Linked DNA regions of Oreochromis niloticus. The protein of the gene in region 2 purifies or fractionates together with the protein of the main gene of each other region. This does not show direct contact. Links are inferred from orthologs where the notes say so. Each region holds a gene or a part of one and is shown on either strand. Other genes may lie near its edges.

What was found. Proteins that work in one complex are often made in the same cells at the same time.
Region 1: the proteins of hsp90b1 (region 2) and os9 purify together in Homo sapiens (affinity purification with mass spectrometry; 6 studies listed by BioGRID and IntAct, with this or other methods). This does not show direct contact. The link is inferred for Oreochromis niloticus from reciprocal best matches to the Homo sapiens genes HSP90B1 and OS9.

The regions. Positions count from the first base shown.
Region 1 is NC_031970.2:23,290,814-23,301,471, reverse strand, and holds the start of os9 (protein OS-9), read right to left. Parts: upstream 4,961-10,658; 5' UTR 4,786-4,960; coding exon 4,633-4,785; intron 2,902-4,632; coding exon 2,719-2,901; intron 1,664-2,718; coding exon 1,600-1,663; intron 1,517-1,599; coding exon 1,440-1,516; intron 1,349-1,439; coding exon 1,250-1,348; intron 1-1,249. Other genes in the region: b4galnt1b (beta-1,4 N-acetylgalactosaminyltransferase 1), read left to right, coding at 8,954-9,168, 9,246-9,422. UniProt on the Homo sapiens protein: Lectin component of the HRD1 complex, which functions in endoplasmic reticulum (ER) quality control and ER-associated degradation (ERAD).
Region 2 is NC_031972.2:48,746,264-48,757,040, forward strand, and holds the start of hsp90b1 (endoplasmin), read left to right. Parts: upstream 1-6,067; 5' UTR 6,068-6,188; coding exon 6,189-6,237; intron 6,238-6,751; coding exon 6,752-6,854; intron 6,855-7,177; coding exon 7,178-7,319; intron 7,320-7,409; coding exon 7,410-7,526; intron 7,527-7,610; coding exon 7,611-7,942; intron 7,943-8,193; coding exon 8,194-8,305; intron 8,306-8,415; coding exon 8,416-8,547; intron 8,548-8,742; coding exon 8,743-8,859; intron 8,860-8,948; coding exon 8,949-9,086; intron 9,087-9,182; coding exon 9,183-9,260; intron 9,261-9,368; coding exon 9,369-9,434; intron 9,435-9,684; coding exon 9,685-9,954; intron 9,955-10,045; coding exon 10,046-10,291; intron 10,292-10,414; coding exon 10,415-10,551; intron 10,552-10,647; coding exon 10,648-10,726; intron 10,727-10,777. Other genes in the region: nt5dc3 (5'-nucleotidase domain-containing protein 3), read right to left, coding at 856-1,150.

The DNA.
Region 1 (10,658 bases), on a different chromosome or scaffold from region 2:
TACAACATCTGTGTAATCAGAAAATCAGCATCTTCTGATAAACTTAATCTCCTTTAGAAGGGCTAAAGAGTTGACTAAAGCCATATCTCTAAACAGACAGCTGCATATGAATATCTGGGGAACGGAAAGCTTTCTTGATTTCATTTCCTCTCCTCTTTTAGTTCTTGTTCTAATAATCAGTCTCATCTGAGTGTGCAGTTAAGTCCCCATGTGAGCAAAGCACTTCCCTCAATTAATCTCAAAACCATTAGTTTTCAGATGGCAATTTTTCTTTTAATTAGTTTTGGGGTTTAGGGTTGTTTAGCACTAAAGAACTGGCTGCTCCATGAGATTAAGACAGCTGACTAGGTGACAGGTTCCTTAATTTAATAAGGCCAAACAGGTTTACTTTTTGGACCCTATAAGGTATCAGGATGACCAAAATATTTCACATGCCAAATTTTGTATTTTTTCCACCCGAACTCTTTTAGGGTCACAGAAAAGAAACATGCTGTCATAATCTGAACTAATGTCTAAGTCACAGTTTTAATTTTTCCAGAAAAACTAGCCAGCGTCTCCCACCTGACCTCCCTCAAAAATATTCAGAATTATTTCGACACAGAAGGAATCGCAAAGATGACTCTGGCATTAAAGTGGAGGTAACATGGAAACCGTTAAGATGCTATAACTTGTTTTGACTAGACAAATTTGCTGAAAATGCACATTTTGGATAAAGTTGAAAAGTTAAAAACTCCAGGGTGCCAATGCTTGTTTCTGTTACTCTCCTTCACAGACATTAAACTGGTGCAGCTTTTCTGTAGAGGATGTTATATCCTAAGATATCCAAGATACTGATGATCAAAAGAGGTTACTGGCAAAAATGGATTTTGACTTTAGATTGGGATACTCTGAGTTAATGCTAAATTAATTTGGTTGCAGTACGAAGTAATGTTTTGCACAGCTCATTAAATGTGCTAAAGTTACACTACAAAAAGAACAATTTTTTTTTTTTTTTAACTAAGACTCAGCTGAGTCTGAGGAGCTCAGGCGAGCCTTTTAAGGAAAGCAATCATAAAACATATTCATGTTCGAAATGTCTGCTGCATGGGATATATTTAAAAGTAAAAGGCTTGTAAATCTGCACAGGCATGCCCACACTTTTGCATATGAGTATTTGGATTAGCAAGGAGGAAGTCAAAACTTAAAAGAAAAAAAAGTGAAACACGCAAATAAACTCAAGCAGGATGTGTTCCAAATGCAAATATCTCACCCGGACTTCAGTCTCTCTGGGATTTCCATTTAGGTCACACTTAGAGCCATTTACATAGGTCTGGCTGTGGTATCGCTTTAGCCTGTGCTGTTTGGAGGCCTGAGAGAAAAAACACAATGGATGCACCCACGATTGTTTGGTTCATATTGTACAGTCATGCAAATCAGCCACAAAATAGAGGCAACTTTACCTTTGCTGTTTCATTGCTCCAATCAAATTCTGACTCATAATAACCCAGGAAGAGAATGTCCCCTTTGATCTCTGTGTCTAAGGACAAAAGAACAAAATTAGTCAAAAACAATAACTGAAAGTTAAGAAAAACAAAACAAAACAGAGTAGTGGCCTCTCACCTTCAAGGTGGTATTGTCTGATATGCTGGCCATGGCAGAACTCGTACGTCCACCAGTCCTTCGTCTGCAGGACATATATTTCTGTTAGACTTTGACACAGTGCATAAGCCTGAAATGGTCCCACGCACATATTTGTAAATGAGGCCTATTTTTCAGGAAGTCTTGTGGTTTAATCAGATGTAACTTTGAAAATCTAAGTCAGACTCCTCTAACTGTACTGTTGTGAACTTTAACATTTAACATTCTAACTGCGGCCTGTGGAGTTTGAGATAGCCTCTTGGGTATTTTTCCAGTTTTTCTGAGGACTGCACAGGCTGACCTTGGGTTTTACTGGGACATCAACTCCTGGGAACATTGGCAGCTGTCTCAAATGTTGGGAAAAAATCTTATTTACTGTAGAATGATGGAGTTCATTTTGAAGGCAATAGCTTTATAATGCATCAAGACTGATGGGCAGTAACAACTGATTCTTTGAGATCTTTGGTGTTGTTTTTCCTCGTTGGCACTGTGCTAAGACACCTAAATGCTCATGATCAATTAATCAAGCACATTTGATTAACAGCACAAGGCTGTGACTTAACCTCTTTATGCCTATGGAAGCTGAAAGTGTGACAAACTTTCTTTGTCACATGACTATACAAAAAACACATTGTAACGAGATACATTTTTTAATATTTTCAAGGTGTTTTTGCTCTAACATCCAGTCATAGTGGATAAAATGCACTGTGAGCAGGAAAATAGTGATAAAGTACTTGTGGGCTTTTGGGTAAACCTTAAATTAACACATTAAGCTGAACAATTGAAAACACAGGTACATTAACAGATGTTTGTCTCTTAGATATACTGCTTTTGTACCCAGTCACTGATGCAGACAAGCAACCTTTAATCCAGTGAATACTGAATCAAGAGCCTCCCAGTGTTGTTTTGGCAAGCTTCTGGTGCATTCACGTGTGTCTTTCAAATAGCTTACTTAAGCTGGCAAATATACTTAACTTACAGTCACTTCCAGTGTGTTTTGCTCTTGTTCTTATTGTTGTATTATTTTTGTAGCCACATCACAGTATAAACAGCTTAAGCATTTCACTGTTGGATTACACAGATAAGTAGTTAAAGACCAACCTTGACTAGACATGGGGCATTGTGCATGGGCTTGAGCAGGTCTGGGATATCTGGCCCAGTGTAACCCTCCGAGTCAGGCTCAGTGGCGGGATCCTGATGAAAACGCACAGCCTGGGCTGGAAGTCGACACTCATAGAGCTGTTTGTACTTACTGGACACCATCATAACCTCCTCTGTCTTAGTCTACAAACGTAAGACAGGCATGGAAAAGGGGGCGAATTTAATGTTGACACACATGGGCACACATTACCAATGCATTACTTGAGTGCAGACAGATAAAAACATGGCTTGCGGCTTTCTATGGGCTCAAAATGTGGTCATAAATATTTTGTACTTGTAAATCAGTTTTGTACTTGTAAATCAGGATTTGTATGTGTAAAAAGAATTTGTGTGTGTGTAAAAAAGATTTGTATGTGTAAAAAGAATTTGTGTGTGCGTAAAAAAGATTTGTATGTGTAAAAAGAATTTGTGTGTGCGTAAAAAAGATTTGTGTGTGGACTTAGCCAAAAAAAACCCCTGCAAGTTACAAGTACGAATTTTGACTCTATTTTTCTTCCTTTCATCTGATTGTTCAATGTCATGTCAATCACAAATGTAACAATCCAATCAGAGAACAGATGGGTTTGGCTGTCGGAGGGGCACTTTTTTGAACTGCAGGTCCTTGAAGGGTAATACAGTTTGAAGCTGGAGGATCTCTATATAAATATCCGATAGCAGCTAGGTCCGCTAACTTTCAGCAGCTGTTGAAAGGATAAAGTTGTGGTATGCCAGTGGTTAGACATACCATTATTACTTTAGGATTAGTTTAACACAAAGTCAGGGCTGACCCGGGACCATTGCTGTGAGTCACAGTGAGCAGCATAAAAGTCCTTTCACATCGAGCACAGGATGTGCTGCTAATGCTAACTAAACGCAAAGGATCCAGAATTTGTTGCGCTGGTTGCTGGGCTCTGTGGTTTTTTGCAGCAGCTCTACCTGTACTAGATGCACCTGCTCCTTGTCGTTTCTATCTCTGACTTTATGTCCTCTACAAGAGTTTCTGGGGGTTTTTTTTTTGCTAGTTCTTCGAATGTTCAATAAAAACATGTATGCTAATTCATAACGAAGAAAGCTTTGTAATGAAGACTGTCATTTCCAAAACACTGCCCGCCCCCCCCCCCGCGGTCCGCAGCGCTGTCGAAAAGGCTGTGGAAGTCCCTGTATTAAACACGTAGACCTGTGACACAAAAGTCACCAAACTCGGACGACCACAGACTGTTTTCCTTCGTGGTGATGAAGGAAAACACTGGGTTGGCATGTAAAAGGGCATTTATTCCCTTCAAAGACCTGCAGTTCAAAAAAAGTGCCCCTCCGACAGCCAAACCCATCTGTTCTCTGATTGGATTGTTACATTTGTGATTGACATGACATTGACCAATCAGATGAAAGGAAGAAAAATAGGGTCAAAATTCGTACTTGTAACTTGCAGGGGTTTTTGGCTAAGTCCACAAACAAATCTTTTTTATGCACACCCAAAGTCTTTTTACACATACAAATCTTTTTTACGCACACACAAATTCTTTTTACACATACAAATCTTTTTTACGCACACACAAATTCTTTTTACACATACAAATCCTGATTTACAAGTACAAAATATTTATGACCACATTTTGAGCCCATAGGGCTTTACTTTCAGCTAGTTACTTATAGACCTGTGGCAATGAACATAACAGCTGTCACAGCATGCTGCGTACTTCACCTGAGAATTACTAGTCTTCATGTAATTTTATAAGATTTATTTTCATATGTTTTGTGCTTTTATGACATCAGGTCTCACGCTGTGTGAATTATTTGACACTATTAATAGTAAATAAATAACGCTAGCTCATATTTAAGCTAACAAGCTATATCCGTTAGCATTTCCTGACTCACCTGCCCCAGGATGACAGGATCGGGAAGAATCTGAATCCCATATTTCATCTCATTAAGCTCCTCCAAATTCAAGAAGCCCGGGACACAGAGGGGACATGCCAACAAGAAAACGTACAGTCTCTTTAACAACCAAACCAAGGAAGCAGCCATCATTGACTCTCGCCTCTTACCCCTGTCTGACAGCAACAACACACAGAATGCCTGACATGGTAGCAGCGGATTGGTCGAGGTGAAAAGCCCTGCTTTGTCATTGGCCAATTTCCAAGTCAATCAAAGTTTTTCCCCAGTTCTGGGGTGCGTTTGGTTTTCATACCAGCGGACAGTCAATGAACGGCGTGTTTGTGCTATATATAGCATGCTAATGAATAACGGCCAATGACTGATAATGGCCCACATCTCCGCTGTCACCGCCTGACTTGCGATGAAATAGGCTCACACTTAAGCACGAAGACAAGGCGGCCTGTCGCATGGCCAAATAACAATCACGAGTTTGGGGGGGGGTTCTTCGTTTGTTTCATTTTGTTTTGATGCAAAACAGTCCGAAGTAACTGATTTTAAAGGTTTACATTGACAATTAGGTACAATGATGACAAAACGATAAAATGATTCATATGACACCCAAAACGTACACACCGAGCTGAGCGAAAAGTGCAGTTCTGGGTTTAAATATCTGGTGAGGGAAAAATCAAGACAATTCCTTGAAGAAAGAAAGCATTCCTTAACAGAATACCAGAAAGGAGGGGAGGACAGAGGGTGTGATACTGTAGAAGCTGAATAAGCAGTACAATATTTATCGGCTGTGTGAACAGACGCCCACCACACACCCACGCACCAATCTAAACACGTATGTAGACATAAATGTTACTGTTTGATCATAATTCTACTTTTTTTGAGAAATCGTGCAGTCAGTTCAGTGGTATCCTCTCCTCTGTGTCTGTGTGTGTGCGTGCTCAGCTGACAGACCACTGATGGGTCTGGTGTAGCGGTGAAATCGGTGCGCTCGCCGCTGCGCCGCAGCCGCTGTTGCTGCAGGGGGAGCATCCGTCCAACAGCCTGCAGTGTTGCGATGCGCGGCCGCTCCGTCTCTGCGCCGCTTCCCCCCACATAATTCCATTTTCAAGACCTCCGAGGAACAGATCCGTGAGAGAGGGGCGAGCTCCGTGCAGCAGGGAGGTGAAAGAGTCTGCAGTGTGCGTCTTAACTGAGGTGAGCTGTGGGGTTATTTGATTTTTTCTACAGTGGGGTGCTGCTTTAAAGGCCCGTGTCTCCGTCTTCGGCAGGAGATTTTTTTTTCGGGGGTTGTTATTTCTCAGCTCTGGCTGAACGTTTGAAAGCTTCTGTGATAGACAGGGGAGGGGATAGGCATGAGATTTTTTTTATTTTTCATTTTAGACATAACATGGTGGTAAAATAACTAAATACACACTATGTCTTTGTTCTGGAGATGTTTTTCAGCATATTAGAAGTGCTGTTTAAAGATAATTTCGGATGCATGGGTTTTTGTTTTCTTTGTAGGGTTTTCTTGCGCTCACTCAGAATAAGGTGGGCTAATAGGCCTGTGTGTAGCCGGGTATTTATATTCGCTACCTCGGATTTCTGCACACACATTCGCATTATTTTTTTTCCCATATTTTCCTCATGTTTCACAGTACGAAGGGAGGTGTGCTAATTTTGTGCTAATTATCCCAAATAGTCCGAAACATGCGAGCAAATCTGTCACGCGGACTTTGGTAGTGACCCACGGACTATATGCATGTCCATAGCATGTTCACCGCGGCGCTCCCTACCATAGGGTCGTTAGTGTGCAGCACACGCCTATGTTGTGATTGGCTTAGATCATCTGTTATGTATTAGGGCTGTTCCACTATCGCTGATAATTATTATTCCGACGGGGTGGGGGGGGGATCAAATCTACGAGGCCTGCAGTAATGCAAAACATTATCTTCAAAGATATGCATCATGTCATGTTGTCTTACCTTACAATCTCTGTTGAAATACAGTACTGTGCAAAAAGTCGAGACCAACCCCTCATTTTTTATATTTTGATTCCAGGAAGCCAGATTTGTAATTATTTAAAAAGTGGACATCCTGAAGGTCTTAAACATTTTTCTTTTTAAGTCGTTGGCTGCTTATTGACCTAGTTTCAGTCTGATCCTTGTACCTGAGCAATCTCACAGGAATGTTTTTGTTATTGCTGTTTTGTAAGCCACTGATCTATAAATAATTCAAACATAATCAGGGGATGACATGTGTGGTGTCCACATTTAGTAAACAACTTGGCAAAGAACCGATTCTAAAAAAATTTTTTTTTTTTTTAAACAACATCAAATTTGCTCCCATTTCCTTTCCTTTTGGAAGGGTGGTGGTCAAGAAGGGAAACTGCGAGAAAACTCTGAGGTATAGGAGATTACCGATTACACAAGAACTAGACTGAAAGGTACAACAGGGAGTGTCCAAAGCCATCTGTAAAATGCAGTGTTTAAGATCTTGTCAAAATTTATGAAATTATGAACACAGAAAAGTATTGTTAGATTTATTAGGTATCATTTTCCAGTCTGACAGTGATCCCAACACACTATCAGTGGAGTAAAATATACCTTAATCCATGACTATGTGTCATGGATTGGCCTCCCCAGAGCTTTACCTCAACATTAATGAAGCAGTGTGGGATCATCTTGACTGAAAACAGAATAAAAGGCAGACAACATCCAAAGAAGAGCTTTGAATGTCCTTCAAGAAACCAGAAGAATTATTCCTTAAGACTACTTAAAGAAATTACAAGAAAGGCTTGCCCAAGCGTTCAGACTATGATAAGAAATAAAGGTGGCCATACCAAATATTGACTTTCAAGCTTGTTATAGTTGTAAAAACACTCTTTTTTCCTTGCATACATATCGATTTGGCTAAATTAATCTCCTAAAAAAGAAGAAATTGAGTTGCAGCCTGAAAACCTTCATGAGTTTGCTAAATATGAGTTTATAATAAATTTCTGGGATGAGCTGATTGGCTGCTAGTTCTGATCCTATTAATCTTTCCCCTGTATTGATTGAGTTTTTCCCCTCCAGCCCTTTGTAAAACTAATATCCTCTGGCAGCTGTGGTACCATGCAGTCACTTAATGAAACACTACATGGTCACTTACCTCATGATAATATAAGTTTATATGCACTCTAGGTTTCTTAATAGTACATTCTGTTATATTATTATTAGTTGTTATCCATTTTTTCAGCCTGTACTCCTTGATTTGTTTTTTGTTCTTTCCAGATGGAGAAGGCGCTTGCTCATTTCCACAAATGTTTACATGGTTTCTGGAGATGCAGGTGTCAACAGAGGTTTTCCTTTCAATGATTGGATAGAGGCAGTGAGGTAGATATTCCTATAAATACTTTTTAAACTGCTAGAAATGAAAGTCTGTCTGCCAAGGATTAGGTTTCATTTAATGTCTTATCTCCTACATTTGTGGCAGTGAATTTAGTGTTGGTATAATTAGATCATTGTAAGCAAGCCTACACACACACATACACATACATACAAGAGACATAGATTTAGAGTCTCGATTCCATCACTTCAAAGGTTTTCCACATTATTTCTAACACTAGACTTTTCCTACTTTGAACATAAACAAAGTCTTCATCATTAGATGTAAACATTTATGTCTTTAACAAGAAGGCAGGATTCCCACTATGTAGCTGTGTTTATTATTTACGTTCCCACAATATGAGCAATTCATTTACAAGGATTCCATCGCACCCACACCCAAATGCATGCAGAATCAGAAATGGAGTTTTAGTTTGTCGCAGCTGGAGGAGAAAGAGTTTATTGTGTGCTGGCAAGTTTCTGAAAGGGGAGACATCTGCTTTCAGTTATACAGAAGAAGAAGAATCGAGGAGAAAAAATATGGGAGGGGAATGAGGGATCGGAAGGCATTCATGATTTCATTATGCTGATTCTTTCAGCAGATATCTAGATCTCTTCTCATGGCTCCTCTGTGAGTGCAACCACAAAAATGTGAATAATTTTCCATGGATCTGTAGCTGTGATGATGACTTAGAAAATTTTCTGAGACTAAAATTAATACGGGGCCTCTTCAATTAAACAACTTCCTGCGGGCTGTTTTTGGGTTGAGCTGAAGTGGAAGGGGGGGGGGATGACATGACATAACCTTTTAACTTTAGCAAAACCTCACAAAGTTGTCACACAAAACAGAGACTGCTGATTTTGTTCCCATCACTTACATTGCATTCCTGTTCGGAAATATCTTCAGAGTATAATTATAAAAACCAGAACGTCATCCAACATACTAATCTCTGACAGGTTCCAGGATGCGGTCCATGAGGAAGACGGTGTTGCTAGTCATCCTGGTATCTGTGGTGCTAGTACTGGCTCTCCTCCATTCGTGGCCCACTCGGGGTTACACCACAGTGGATGTTTGGCAGCGACCAGCGTTTATAGTAGAGAGGCATCTGGAAGAGAGGGTCCCTGAGTCAGACCATCGATTGAGCAATATTCCCTTCCATGTAAGGGATAATGTGGCGAGGTAAGTAATGCTATTTTGAACCAAAGCGGACAGACCTGAGCTTAAATCTGATCACACGTGTCTTATAATCTGTCCAGTTTGCTGGCACGTAATGGATGCATATGTGAGGGCGAAAGTGGGGGGGTAAACCTACCGTTCGCACAACTCTTGTTCCCTCGGGTGTCAGCTCACCCGCTGCACACTGCCTTCGAGGCTTCAGAGCTGGAGGAGATGAAGAGGAGACGGGCTAAAGAGTACAGCAGCTTTCAGACGAGGTAAGGAGTACTTAAGAGGTGTTTCACATTTTTTATCTGTGTGGCTAAAATATTATTATGCGGCCTGATGTGTTGTTTTACTTAAATTAAATAATGATGTAACAAAATGTGTTACTTGAAATAATCCATCTGTCTCAGCGCACGCTACAGGAAATTGTTTTTTAGACTTATCTATCTCTTACATGGAAAATCATCCACAATCTCACATCACTCTTGTCATATACTAATCTGCTTCGCTTTGTGGTTTGTTACTACGCAGTTAGAATAAAAACACATTACATTAACCTGCAAACATTAACCTGAGATCAACTATCAGAGAAAAGTCACACAGTTTGAATGCACATGCATTAGAACATATATAAACACAGACCTCGCTTTTTGCATGCTTCCAGTACACAACCAGCAGCCTTAAAACCTCCCCGCTTCTCTGTGGATCGTGCAGGAGTTGTGCATTAATAAGACTACATACACGGGTATTTTTGAAAACGCAGCTTTTTCTATTTGTTTGGGCCTTTCGTCCACACGCAAAAGCGTTTTGGATCACTGAAAATAGAGATTTTTTAAAAACTCAATTTTTGCCTTTACGTCTGTACGAAGAAAACAGAGATTTAGCCTCACAACGTCAAAGGTGAGCGCCTTTTTTGATGTCAAGCTTTGCACCACGTTATTGTTTACATGAGATGAATTTCTACAATGGCAAATATAGATAAAATACCCTTGCTTTTAATCTTACTATCTGCATTTTTTACACGGTAACACATACACACACAGTTACTGTCCCTCCATTTAGAAACACAGAGGCATCAGAGTGAACGTCGACATGGCTTCTACATTGAACACAGACACTGTCACAACCCAAATCTCGACGCCAACGTCATCGTCGGTTTTGAATAAATGTAATTTTTAAAAAATTAAACGTATGTATGCTGTATGCATTTTGTCCATTCCTAAGTTGTGAGTCTACACCAGCCATATTTCATTATTATAAATCACTCAGACTAATGTAAAATTTTCAGTTTCTTTATTGAATAAACTCTGGCCGAGAGAGCCAGTGACACAAAATCCACTGAATACTGACTTTAGTTATTAACATTTGAAATGATGAAGGCTATTAAAAAGTAACACAAAATTCGCCGCCTTTCCAGAAAAACAAAAACTTTTCAGAAGTACAGAAGGTTTTGTGAGGGCACAAAACCCTGTTTACTCTTTCCCTCTCAGGCTTGTAGACCTCTGATT
Region 2 (10,777 bases):
CTATTTTATTTATAGCATTATTAAAATCATTTATAGTAATCGGAAGATTGGTGGTTTGATCCCTGGCTCCAGTCTGGTCAAGATACTAACCATCAAAGTGTGAATATAAGTTTTTGAGGATCTGAAATATGTAAGTGTGACAAATATGTAAAAACTAATACATTAGAAAGGGGGGGGGGACATGCATTCATACAGCTCTTGATTCTATGCACCTAAAATATTTTATCTATCTCACATCCATGGCCAGTTTAGAAACACCAACCTGACATGAATGTCTTTGGAATGTGGAAGGCAGCTAAAACATGTGGAGGAAACCCACACATTGATAGGGAGACCATGCAAACTCCACTCAGAGGGCCACAAACAGGGTTCAAACCAGGAAGCTTCATGCTGTGAGGCAACAGTGCTAATCGCACCAACTCCCAAGGTTACTCTCTCATTCAGGAGTGGACAAAAGGTGTGTAAAAGAACACCTCAGTCAAACATCAGCACAGTGTTGATTTAACCCTTCAATGTCAACTTCCCAACAAATTCTGACCTTTAAAAAAGATCAATAATCAGTGATGCAATAAATAAAAACATTCAGGTTTTAAGGTTCAGAAATGTAGACATTGGGGATTTGTTAGCATCAGTGAGACACAAATAAATCAAGTCACAGAGACAGGTACAACCTAATTTCCACATTTACAGTCTGCTGTCTGAGAGGCAATTAATATAGAGGAATGGTGAGATGTAGGGCATTAGTCAGCAGGAAACACAGGCCATAACAGAGTTATAAAGAAACAGCAGCTTTGTATTTAGGGCAGGGCTGTAACTATTAATGAGGAGCCGCCTCACTGTGAACAGTGACCATACCTCCAGTCTGTCTTTTGGTCTCATCGTAAACAGACCACAGCCTCTCTGTCGTGTTCTGACCGTCTAAGGAGCTGCTACAAACAGATGCTGCGCACTTTCCGGCTCTGGGCTGGTGGGAGAGTAGCTGACCGACTCCCTGGGACACCGCTCTGAAATTCCGCTTCCATAACCGAGACCTTACCGGGTGGTGGTGGTGGTGGTGTAGCCCCTGTACGACATTACAGAAAATATTGGCCCTCTGCAGACAGTCCGTGTGTTTCAGAAGAGACGAGAGCGGCAAAGACCAGGGCGCCATAGCTTCGTTCAGAGCGTGGCGGACCGTGCGGAGGTCGCGGAGTACTCCCCAGCCGACTGCATGCACTAACGGGCTCACTCTGCAAAAACAGAAACTGTCGCTGTGTAGTTGCTCTTGCGTCACTTCCCTGTTTGGTAAGGTCACGACCAGCCAGCCAATCAGGAGCTCGTGCGTTTGACGTTCAGTGCCTCCCATAGCCTGAATATATTAATAATAATAATAATATGTATAAATGTATATAAGATGCATATTTTTAACACTTTATGCTCGCTCCTTACTGCCCTTGCATCATTTGGGATCACAGATAGGCTACACGTAGTAAATGTGTTATTACAGAGTAGAGATCCTGCAGTGTTCAAACCCACAGTATTGTCTCTGGCAATAAAAAAAAAAGAAGAATGCTAAATCAAACAGATTCAAACAGGAGCCACAAACATCAACCAGCAAATTCAGAACTCAACCTTTTGGGACATGCTCAGACTATCTATCTATCTATCTATCTATCTATCTATCTATCTATCTATCTATCTATCCTTCCTTTCTTCCTTTTAGGGATGGGGACGAGGATTGTCAGAAAGAGTGGTGTCTCTTTTAGCTTCTGCTTGTTACATTCAGATCATCTGCCCACGTGAACATGTAAACAAAATGAGCAAGCAGTAGAATAATATGCACATTTGTGGGAGAACCTTGCACCACTGTTTTTCTATCATTTGTGTTTGCTACAATGTGCATATTTTATGTTAATAGCTAAATAGTGCCGCCTAGTGGATAAAGATTAGCGGTACACTCATTCGCTGTATGCTTGTACAGCATTACCAAGATGTGTTGGTGTAATAGTGTAGTTTTATAAGTCTGTTACTCACCGTCAACCCTTCTTTGCAGGTGTGTTGCACCCATAATTTCGGAAAGATCCACCACCCAAATCGATGAGGTCAGAGGTCAAATGTGACATAATATTTGGATGCAAACAATAATATGATACTTGAAATCCCCATGAGTATTCACTTATCATTTTTCAGGGTCTTAGGGCAAGAGGCAGGGTACACCCTGTCTAACACATAGACACAGACAACCATTTGCACTAACATTGACTCCCACATTCACACCTATGGGCAAGTTAGAGTTTTCAGTTAACCTATCCCCACTAACAGCATGTCTTTGGACTGTGGGAGGAAGCTGGAGTACCCAGAGAGAACCCCTCAAGCATTCTGCCAGCAGGCATGGGTTCTTTTTGTGTGGAGAAAGAACCAGGCAGAATTGAACTCAGGACCTTCTTGCTGTGAGACAACAGTGCTAACCACTGTGCCGCCCCTGTATGTCTATATGTTGTCAACAAAAACAAATGCAGTTGCTCTATATCAGTTTGACCTTCGGAATAATCTACTGACCCTGAAGGAGAGGTCAGAGGTAAAATGTGAAATGACACAAATATTTTTGTCAATTTTTGACAAATTAATCCTTAAGCTGACCTTGAAGACCTTGGTGGATGTGAGCTACATTTTAATGGATTGTGAACATGACATCATCTACACCCCGACAAAGTTTTATCATAATTCATTCAAAACCTTTGGGGCTATCGTGTTTACAGACTGAAAGTATGACGTGCACATATGCATGCAAATGCTACTAAAACTTTCACCTCCTATGCAGAGGTGGAGGGAGGGCTCAAGACTTTTGATCAGTGCTACACCAAAAGTCATTATTTCACCTCCAGATAGCTCACAATATAGCTATTAGGCTAATACAGTATGTGCTTCTTACTTTTTTAGCAGATGACATCACATCTATCTAATATTAGCTAGATGGACTAGCTACATAGCAGAAATTGTGAAATCCCATGTGAACAGATTTAGAGTCTTAGATCATTAGATACTCTGGGACTTTGTTAATTTTTCCAAATTCAAGGTTTATATCTAAAGACAACGAACATTGTCTTGTTCAGTTTGCTCTATATTAATGTAAGTGGGAAGCTATTCCTTAATTGATAACTTATCATTCCTCTCTGGGATGCTCTTACCAAACCAATCACATAATTAGTCTGCCTCATTAGTTGATACCAAAAAAGGAAAAGAAAATGCAAAATCTCTCAGTCCAAACATTTAACATTTTCAGCTAGATATTAAGTATCTCACATACATATGTGAGCTTTTCAAATGAAAAGACTCTGCCTTTCATCAAAGTTATCCAAGGAAAGAATTCTGTGATCATCCACTTTATTTTGTGGTCTTTCAGGTCTTTTGGTTTTGCTGAACTTGCCAGTGTATTTCTTTTTAAGAAGGTATCAGTTCATTGATCTGGCCACTCCTGAAGGTTTTGCCATCTCTCTGATAGGTGTATTTGGGATTTAGTGTAATGATTGTTGTTGTTTTTTCACTTGCATCAATATCTCTTTGGAACTCTAATTGAGATTTCCAGTGAAAGTAACCAAATACAAGTTCAGCACTTGGAATGAACTGCAGATCTTTTATCTCCTTGATTTGTCATGGAGTAATGAGGGAACAGGCCTCACCTGGCCATGAAACTCCTGAAAATAGGGCACATTATGGACATTATGGACAATGCTGGGCATCCTCTGCACACGGCCATAAACAACCAGAGGAGTCTGTTCAGTGACAGGTTGCTTCTCCCAAAGACAAGAACCAACAGACTTAAAAACTCCTTTGTCCCACACGCCATCAAACTGTTTAACTCCTCTCTGGAGGGGAGAGGGAGGGGAAACAGGAGGACAAAGGAGGGGGGGACAACTAAGCTGTAGTGCCTTTTCACTGTGCAATACTTTTTGTTAATATCCAACGGTGCAATAGACTCCCAATACGTGAAATTTGCAATTCCCTTGTATTCTTATTCCTATTTATTCTATTAATCCCTTTTGTATACTCTGTATTTATATATGTGTATATATGGTATATTTCTGCTCACATTCTGTAACTTCTGTCGGTGCTGTGCTATTGGAAACCGAATTTCCCGGAAGAACCCACCCGAGAGATTAATAAAGTTTTATCTAATCTAATCTAATCTAATCTAATCTAATCTAATCTACTATGTATAAAAAGTGCTGTAATTTCTAAACAGTGACTGCAAAGGGTTTGTTAAACACAGTGAATTAAAGCTGAAAGTGTGCACTTCAAGCACATATTGATTGTCTGATTTAGAATCCACTGTGGTTTCTAAATCAGACAATCAATCGTTGTGAACAGAGACAAAATCACAAAAACTGTGTGATTGTCCAAATAGTGACAGGCCTGCCCGCCTGAAGTTTGTGATCAACAAGTAACCCAACAGTGATAAACTTAACTTTGACTAATAATGATATAGTGGCGCAGTGGTTACCACTGACACTTAAACGCAAGAAGGTACAGAGTTTGAATCCACCAGCCAGCTGAGACCTTTCTGTGTGGAGTTTGCATGTGTTTCCTGTGTAGGTTCACATTGAATTGTGGATTATGATCTTGGATTGGGTAAGCAGAAGGATTGTGACTTAAAATTGGGTAAACAAATTAATTCTGCTTAAAAAATGCAGCTCCTCATCTTCTTAATAGAACCCATAAAATGGAGCATATCCCCCCTGTCCTAACCTCCTTTCACTGGCTTCCTGTGTATTTTACAATTGATTTTTGAGGTTTGATGTATGTTTTTAAATCCCTTAATAGGCTGTCACCAACATATTTTGCCAATCTCTGAAAAACTTATGCAACTTCAAGGCCACTGACCAGTTATTCCTCTATGTCCAAAAGACAAGACTTAAGGGTGAATCAAGCTATCTCAGCCATAAGCTCAACATTTTTTTGAGTCCACCTTTGAAACGAGTTTTTCTTCTTTTGCTTTCGACCCAGCATAAGAGTTGAAGGCATTAAGGCTGTTTTGTGTATTTTTGCAGTTCTTTTAGGTTGATGTGTGTGGGCATGTGCGTGTATATCTTGTATTATGTATTATGTAATCCACCTTTTTATGTACAGAACTTCGGTAATCTTTGCTGTTTTATAGATGCTTTATGAAAATTGTATTAGACTGGAAAAATCCTTTTAAGATAGAACTATGACTTACTGTAATGTAGTAAATTAAACTATTGACCTTATAACAAAAAAGTACTAGCCCAGTATTTTATTATTTATCTTTAAATTGTTAATTCTGATCTTTTTTCCATTCACATTTGGAGAAACATCACACTTAATAGGAGCTGACACTGTGGTCAGACAGTCAAGTTTAATACATTTGAGATGTTCAGTATTGACGATGGTTGTCATATTTTTAAAATAAGATTCACAGTATCTCTTTTAAATATCGCTGCTGACACGATCGCTAACACCCCTGACACAAAACAAACTGAGCAAGCAGCACAATAATGATATCCTGATCTGCGGGAGAACACTAAGAACTAGTTCCTGAAACATTAGCATTTGCCATTTCAGCTTGCTAACTATATAGCGCCACCAAGTGGATCAGATTCGGTGACTCACTTGAGATAGACTCATTCATTATACTTTATGCTTCCACAGCATTACGATGCATCCAGTCATTTAAAGGAAAGGGAATGCAAAATGCCAGAATAACACGCCATATACACATCGAAAAACACTGCATCATTTACTTTTGTAGAGACTGAAACGGGCTTGGAGCCATAAACTAAACATTCACCAGCTTTCGATTATTAATCTTAAGTGTGTTCCTTGGCTCGGGAACTTTACTTGGAAGTGCTGTCAGTGATGTTTTCCCTACAATGAAAGGTAAATTTTAGGATGTGCTGATTATTCATTCCTGGCCAATGGTGTCCAGCCACGATTTTCGGGTCTAGGCATATGTTGAAGAAACTGATTGGACAACATGTACCGTAGACTGTATTGTGATTGGTCGACGGTCGTGCGTGGTGCACAGCCATTGGTCGGTAGTCACGGGGTAAGGCGAGTGGGCTCTTTTGGTGGGAGAGACGGCTAGTCATTCCTCGTTGTAAAAACCAGTGCTGCATGCGCTGATCTCCCGGCTATTGTCTCAGCAGCTGAAGGCTCAAGTCGTCAGGCAGTCAGTCAGGAAGCATCTCACAATGAAACGAATCTGGGTGATAGGGCTTCTTTTCGCACTCTTAGCATGTGGTGAGTAGCGGCATTTTTTTTAAAATTATTCATTATATTAGCTACCTTTAGCCCGTATGCTAGCACTAACTTGGTTTTTTGCTTTTCTTCTCATTCACTGTGGAGTTTACACGTTCTCCCTGTACTTGACTTTAAAAGGCTTGCAGGTGTCAAAGCAACAGTCTAGTTATATATATTATTCCAATGACGAAGAGCGTATTTAATTTACCTGTTATTTTAGAGTAACGCCACTGTCCGTTAATCTCCTTGCCTTTCCAGAACTTTCTAGCAGAAACACCATCTGTGTTGAAGCTGTCTCATGTTAGCTAACCTCCACTGTTGCATACATGCACGTTAAAATAATGATTAAAAAGCTAACACGGTCAGACGTTACGTCTTAATTAATTTGGTGACTGTGAGAATGTGTTTGCACAGTGCTTTAAAAAAAAAAAAAAATGTTAAATGAGTCTAAAATTACCACATGTTCCCGGTAATTGATAATGAATTTTAATCGAGCAACTTTGTCCCTTGACAGCTGCCGTAAAGGCAGATGATGAACTTGACGTTGACGGGACAGTCGAGGAGGACTTGGGTAAAAGCAGGGATGGCTCCAGAACAGACGATGAAGTGGTGCAGAGGTAGGTGTTACTTTGCGTAACTCCATATACCTTTCTAGATAACTGCAGTTATTGTATCAGGGAAAGTCCACTAAATCTTAGCAGAACAAGGTCAAGATGATAAAGCTTGTGTACAGGTGCTCAGGGCCACTTTTGAGTTATAGTGGAGGTAAGAGGTGTGCAAGTTTTACTGTAAATTTGCTTGTAATAATAGGAAGTTGTATATATCTTGCTTTCATCTTCAATCTTAGTTATCTGAAAGGACAACAGATTTGTTTGGCAGCAAAGATTTGCTGTCGTTCCCCTCTCTTACCCTGCTTGTATTTGCATCTGTCTGCCTTCAGAGAGGAGGAGGCAATCCAGCTGGATGGTTTGAATGCAGCTCAGATTAAGGAACTCAGGGAAAAGTCTGAAAAACATGCCTTTCAGGCTGAAGTTAACCGTATGATGAAGCTGATCATCAACTCTCTCTACAAGAACAAGGAGGTAGGCAGGAATCTTTACTCAACCCTGTGTCTACATATTTTTATTTAAGACAGTTCTCACAGAGCTCATCATCACTTTTTTGTGCTGCAGATCTTCCTTAGGGAGCTGATTTCCAATGCCTCGGATGCTCTGGATAAGATCCGCTTGTTGTCCCTGACCAATGAGGATGCAATGGCCGCAAATGAAGAGCTGACCATCAAAATAAAGGTATGCATTAACTTACTGAATGCTGACACCTTTAATGGAAAAGCTGTGCATCCACTAATTTAATTTCATTATTTCTATCCCCAGTCTGATAAGGAGAAGAACATGCTGCACATCACTGACACTGGTATTGGAATGACCAAGGAGGAGCTAGTAAAGAACTTGGGAACCATTGCCAAGTCAGGCACCAGCGAATTCCTTAACAAGATGACAGAGATGCAGGAAGAGGGACAGTCTACCTCAGAGCTGATCGGACAGTTTGGTGTCGGTTTCTACTCCGCCTTCCTTGTTGCTGACAAGGTCATTGTGACATCCAAGCACAACAATGACACACAGCACATCTGGGAGTCTGACTCAAATCAGTTCTCTGTCATTGAGGACCCCCGTGGGGACACACTGGGAAGAGGAACCACCATCACGTAAGTTATTTATGTGTTAACATTTGCCCACACAGGATTTGGTTTCTTGATCTTTCAAATAGCTCCTGTGAAATGTGTGCATGGCTCACGTTATTTGTCAAAGCTTATGAAATCGTAGTTAATGTTTTTGTGTTGTTAATGTACAGTCTTTATTGAAGAAGAACTGCAGAGTATTTTCATGCTGCTACATGAGTCTGAAAGTTATAAAAGCCTGAACTTTGAAATTTAATCTCATCTTTGTCTAATTGCAGACTTGTCCTAAAGGAGGAGGCGTCAGACTACCTGGAGCTGGAGACCATCAAGAATCTTGTCAAGAAATACTCCCAGTTCATCAACTTCCCCATCTATGTGTGGGCCAGCAAGGTGACTACTTTGTCATTTCCTTCAACACTATGAGTCAGACTTAATCCCAGACTGAAACTGGCAAATATGGAAATGAACAAACGGTTGCATAATTTCTTTTAACATTCAAGACTGAGACGGTTGAAGAGCCCATTGAGGAAGATGCTGAGGCAGCAGAGGAACCAGAGAAAGAGGCTTCTGAAGATGAGGCTGAAGTAGAGGAAGAAGAAGGAGAGGACAAAGACAAACCAAAGACAAAGAAGGTATGTTAATGAAGAAATGGTGGTTGAGGACTATATTGACATATGTGTGATCATTAACAGTTTTTTATGGTGGGTTAAAGTCCCATTGAGTCATTAAGATTTATGGACTATTTTACTCAGAAAGCAGTCTGTGAAAATATGTCTGATCTAAAATGTATATTTTTCAAAAGTTATATAATTGTGTGTGATGTGTAGGTTGAGAAGACTGTGTGGGACTGGGAACTGATGAATGATATCAAGCCCATCTGGCAGAGGCCGGCTAAGGAGGTTGAGGAAGATGAGTACAAGGCTTTCTACAAGACCTTCTCAAAGGTAGGCACACAACCAGTAATACTTCGTCAAACCGGCTCTGTAGGCTGGTATACTAATGTCAACTTTACCCATCTTTCATCTTCCAACAGGACAATGATGACCCTATGGCTCACATCCACTTCACAGCTGAGGGTGAGGTCACCTTTAAGTCCATCCTGTTTGTGCCCACTTCAGCTCCCCGTGGGCTGTTTGACGAGTATGGCTCCAAGAAGAACGATTACATCAAGGTGTGTAGCCTAAGCAATATTTAGCATCAGATTTATTCAACTTTTTCAGCAATACCCCAAAAACTGAGTTTCAAAGTAAATGCCTTCCATTCGCAGCTGTTTGTCAGGAGAGTTTTCATCACAGACGACTTCAATGACATGATGCCCAAGTACCTGAACTTCATCAAGGGAGTGGTGAGTTATTTTTTAACTCTTATTCGACGATCTCATGCTAATGTTATGTGCTTGGTCTCTGCATTAATATCACCTGCACCGTGATTAAGGGAAACTTTATTTTGTTAGGTTGACTCTGACGACCTTCCTCTGAATGTGTCCAGAGAAACTCTGCAGCAGCACAAACTGCTCAAGGTGAGCTCAACATGCAGCCCTGTTCGCTTCCCATTCCATCATTTAGTCATCATTAACCAATTAAGCCACTGATTAAAATGGATAATGAAGCAACAAAGCAATTTTTAATGAGCGCAAATCATAAAGTGCTTTCAGGAATAACAGGGGGCACTAGAATATGGTTAAATTAAAGCATAAGTTAAAGATTCTGAATAACTAACACTAGATTTAATGCAGTATGAAATGGTCATACCTATTTTATCTTTTTCAGGTTATCCGCAAGAAGCTGGTCCGTAAGACTCTGGACATGATTAAGAAGATTGCAGAGGAACAGTACAACGACAAGTTCTGGAAGGAGTTTGGCACCAACATCAAGCTGGGTGTGATTGAGGATCACTCCAACAGGACCCGTCTTGCTAAGCTGCTGCGCTTCCAAACCTCCAACAGTGAAACAGACCTGTCCAGCCTGGAGCAGTATGTGGAGCGCATGAAGGAGAAGCAGGATAAGATCTATTTCATGGCTGGCACCAGCAGGAAAGAGGTGAGTGAATGTTTTTGGCCAGGTGAAAGAAGTGTAAACTATCCTACACTAGCTGAAATTCTCATGTCTCTTGTTCTTCCATCCGCTACAGGCTGAGTCCTCTCCCTTCGTTGAGAGGCTGCTGAAGAAGGGCTATGAGGTCATCTACCTGACAGAGCCTGTGGATGAGTACTGCATCCAGGCATTGCCAGAGTTTGATGGAAAACGCTTCCAGAACGTGGCCAAGGAAGGTGTCAAATTTGACGAGAGTGAAAAGGCCAAGGAGAAGAGGGAGGCCCTGGAGAAGGAGTTCGAACCTCTCACAACTTGGCTGAAGGACAAAGCTCTAAAGGATAAGGTAATGCTGTGATATTAAAAGAATGGGAAATGAGTGCCAGCTGTATAAGCAGTTAATTTTGGCTATAGCTGCCCATTTATGTCTGTTGCAACATTTAATGCATTGCTGTTTATTCCCCAACAGATTGAGAAGGCTGTTCTCTCTCAGAGGCTAACCAACTCACCCTGCGCCTTGGTTGCCAGTCAGTATGGCTGGTCAGGAAACATGGAGAGGATCATGAAGGCACAGGCCTACCAGACAGGAAAGGACATTTCCACAAAGTGAGTGTTAATCCCGTGCTGATCTTTGCATGTCCATTTATTACTCCACCTGCTATTGCTTTGCTCTAAATCTGTATTTCTGTTTAATCTTTCCAGTTACTATGCCAGCCAGAAGAAAACACTAGAACTCAACCCCAAACATCCTCTTGTCAAGCAGTTGCTTAACAGAGTCAATGTGAGTTTAACCACTGTCATTTTTGTACATCTGTACTATAGTAATTGTCCT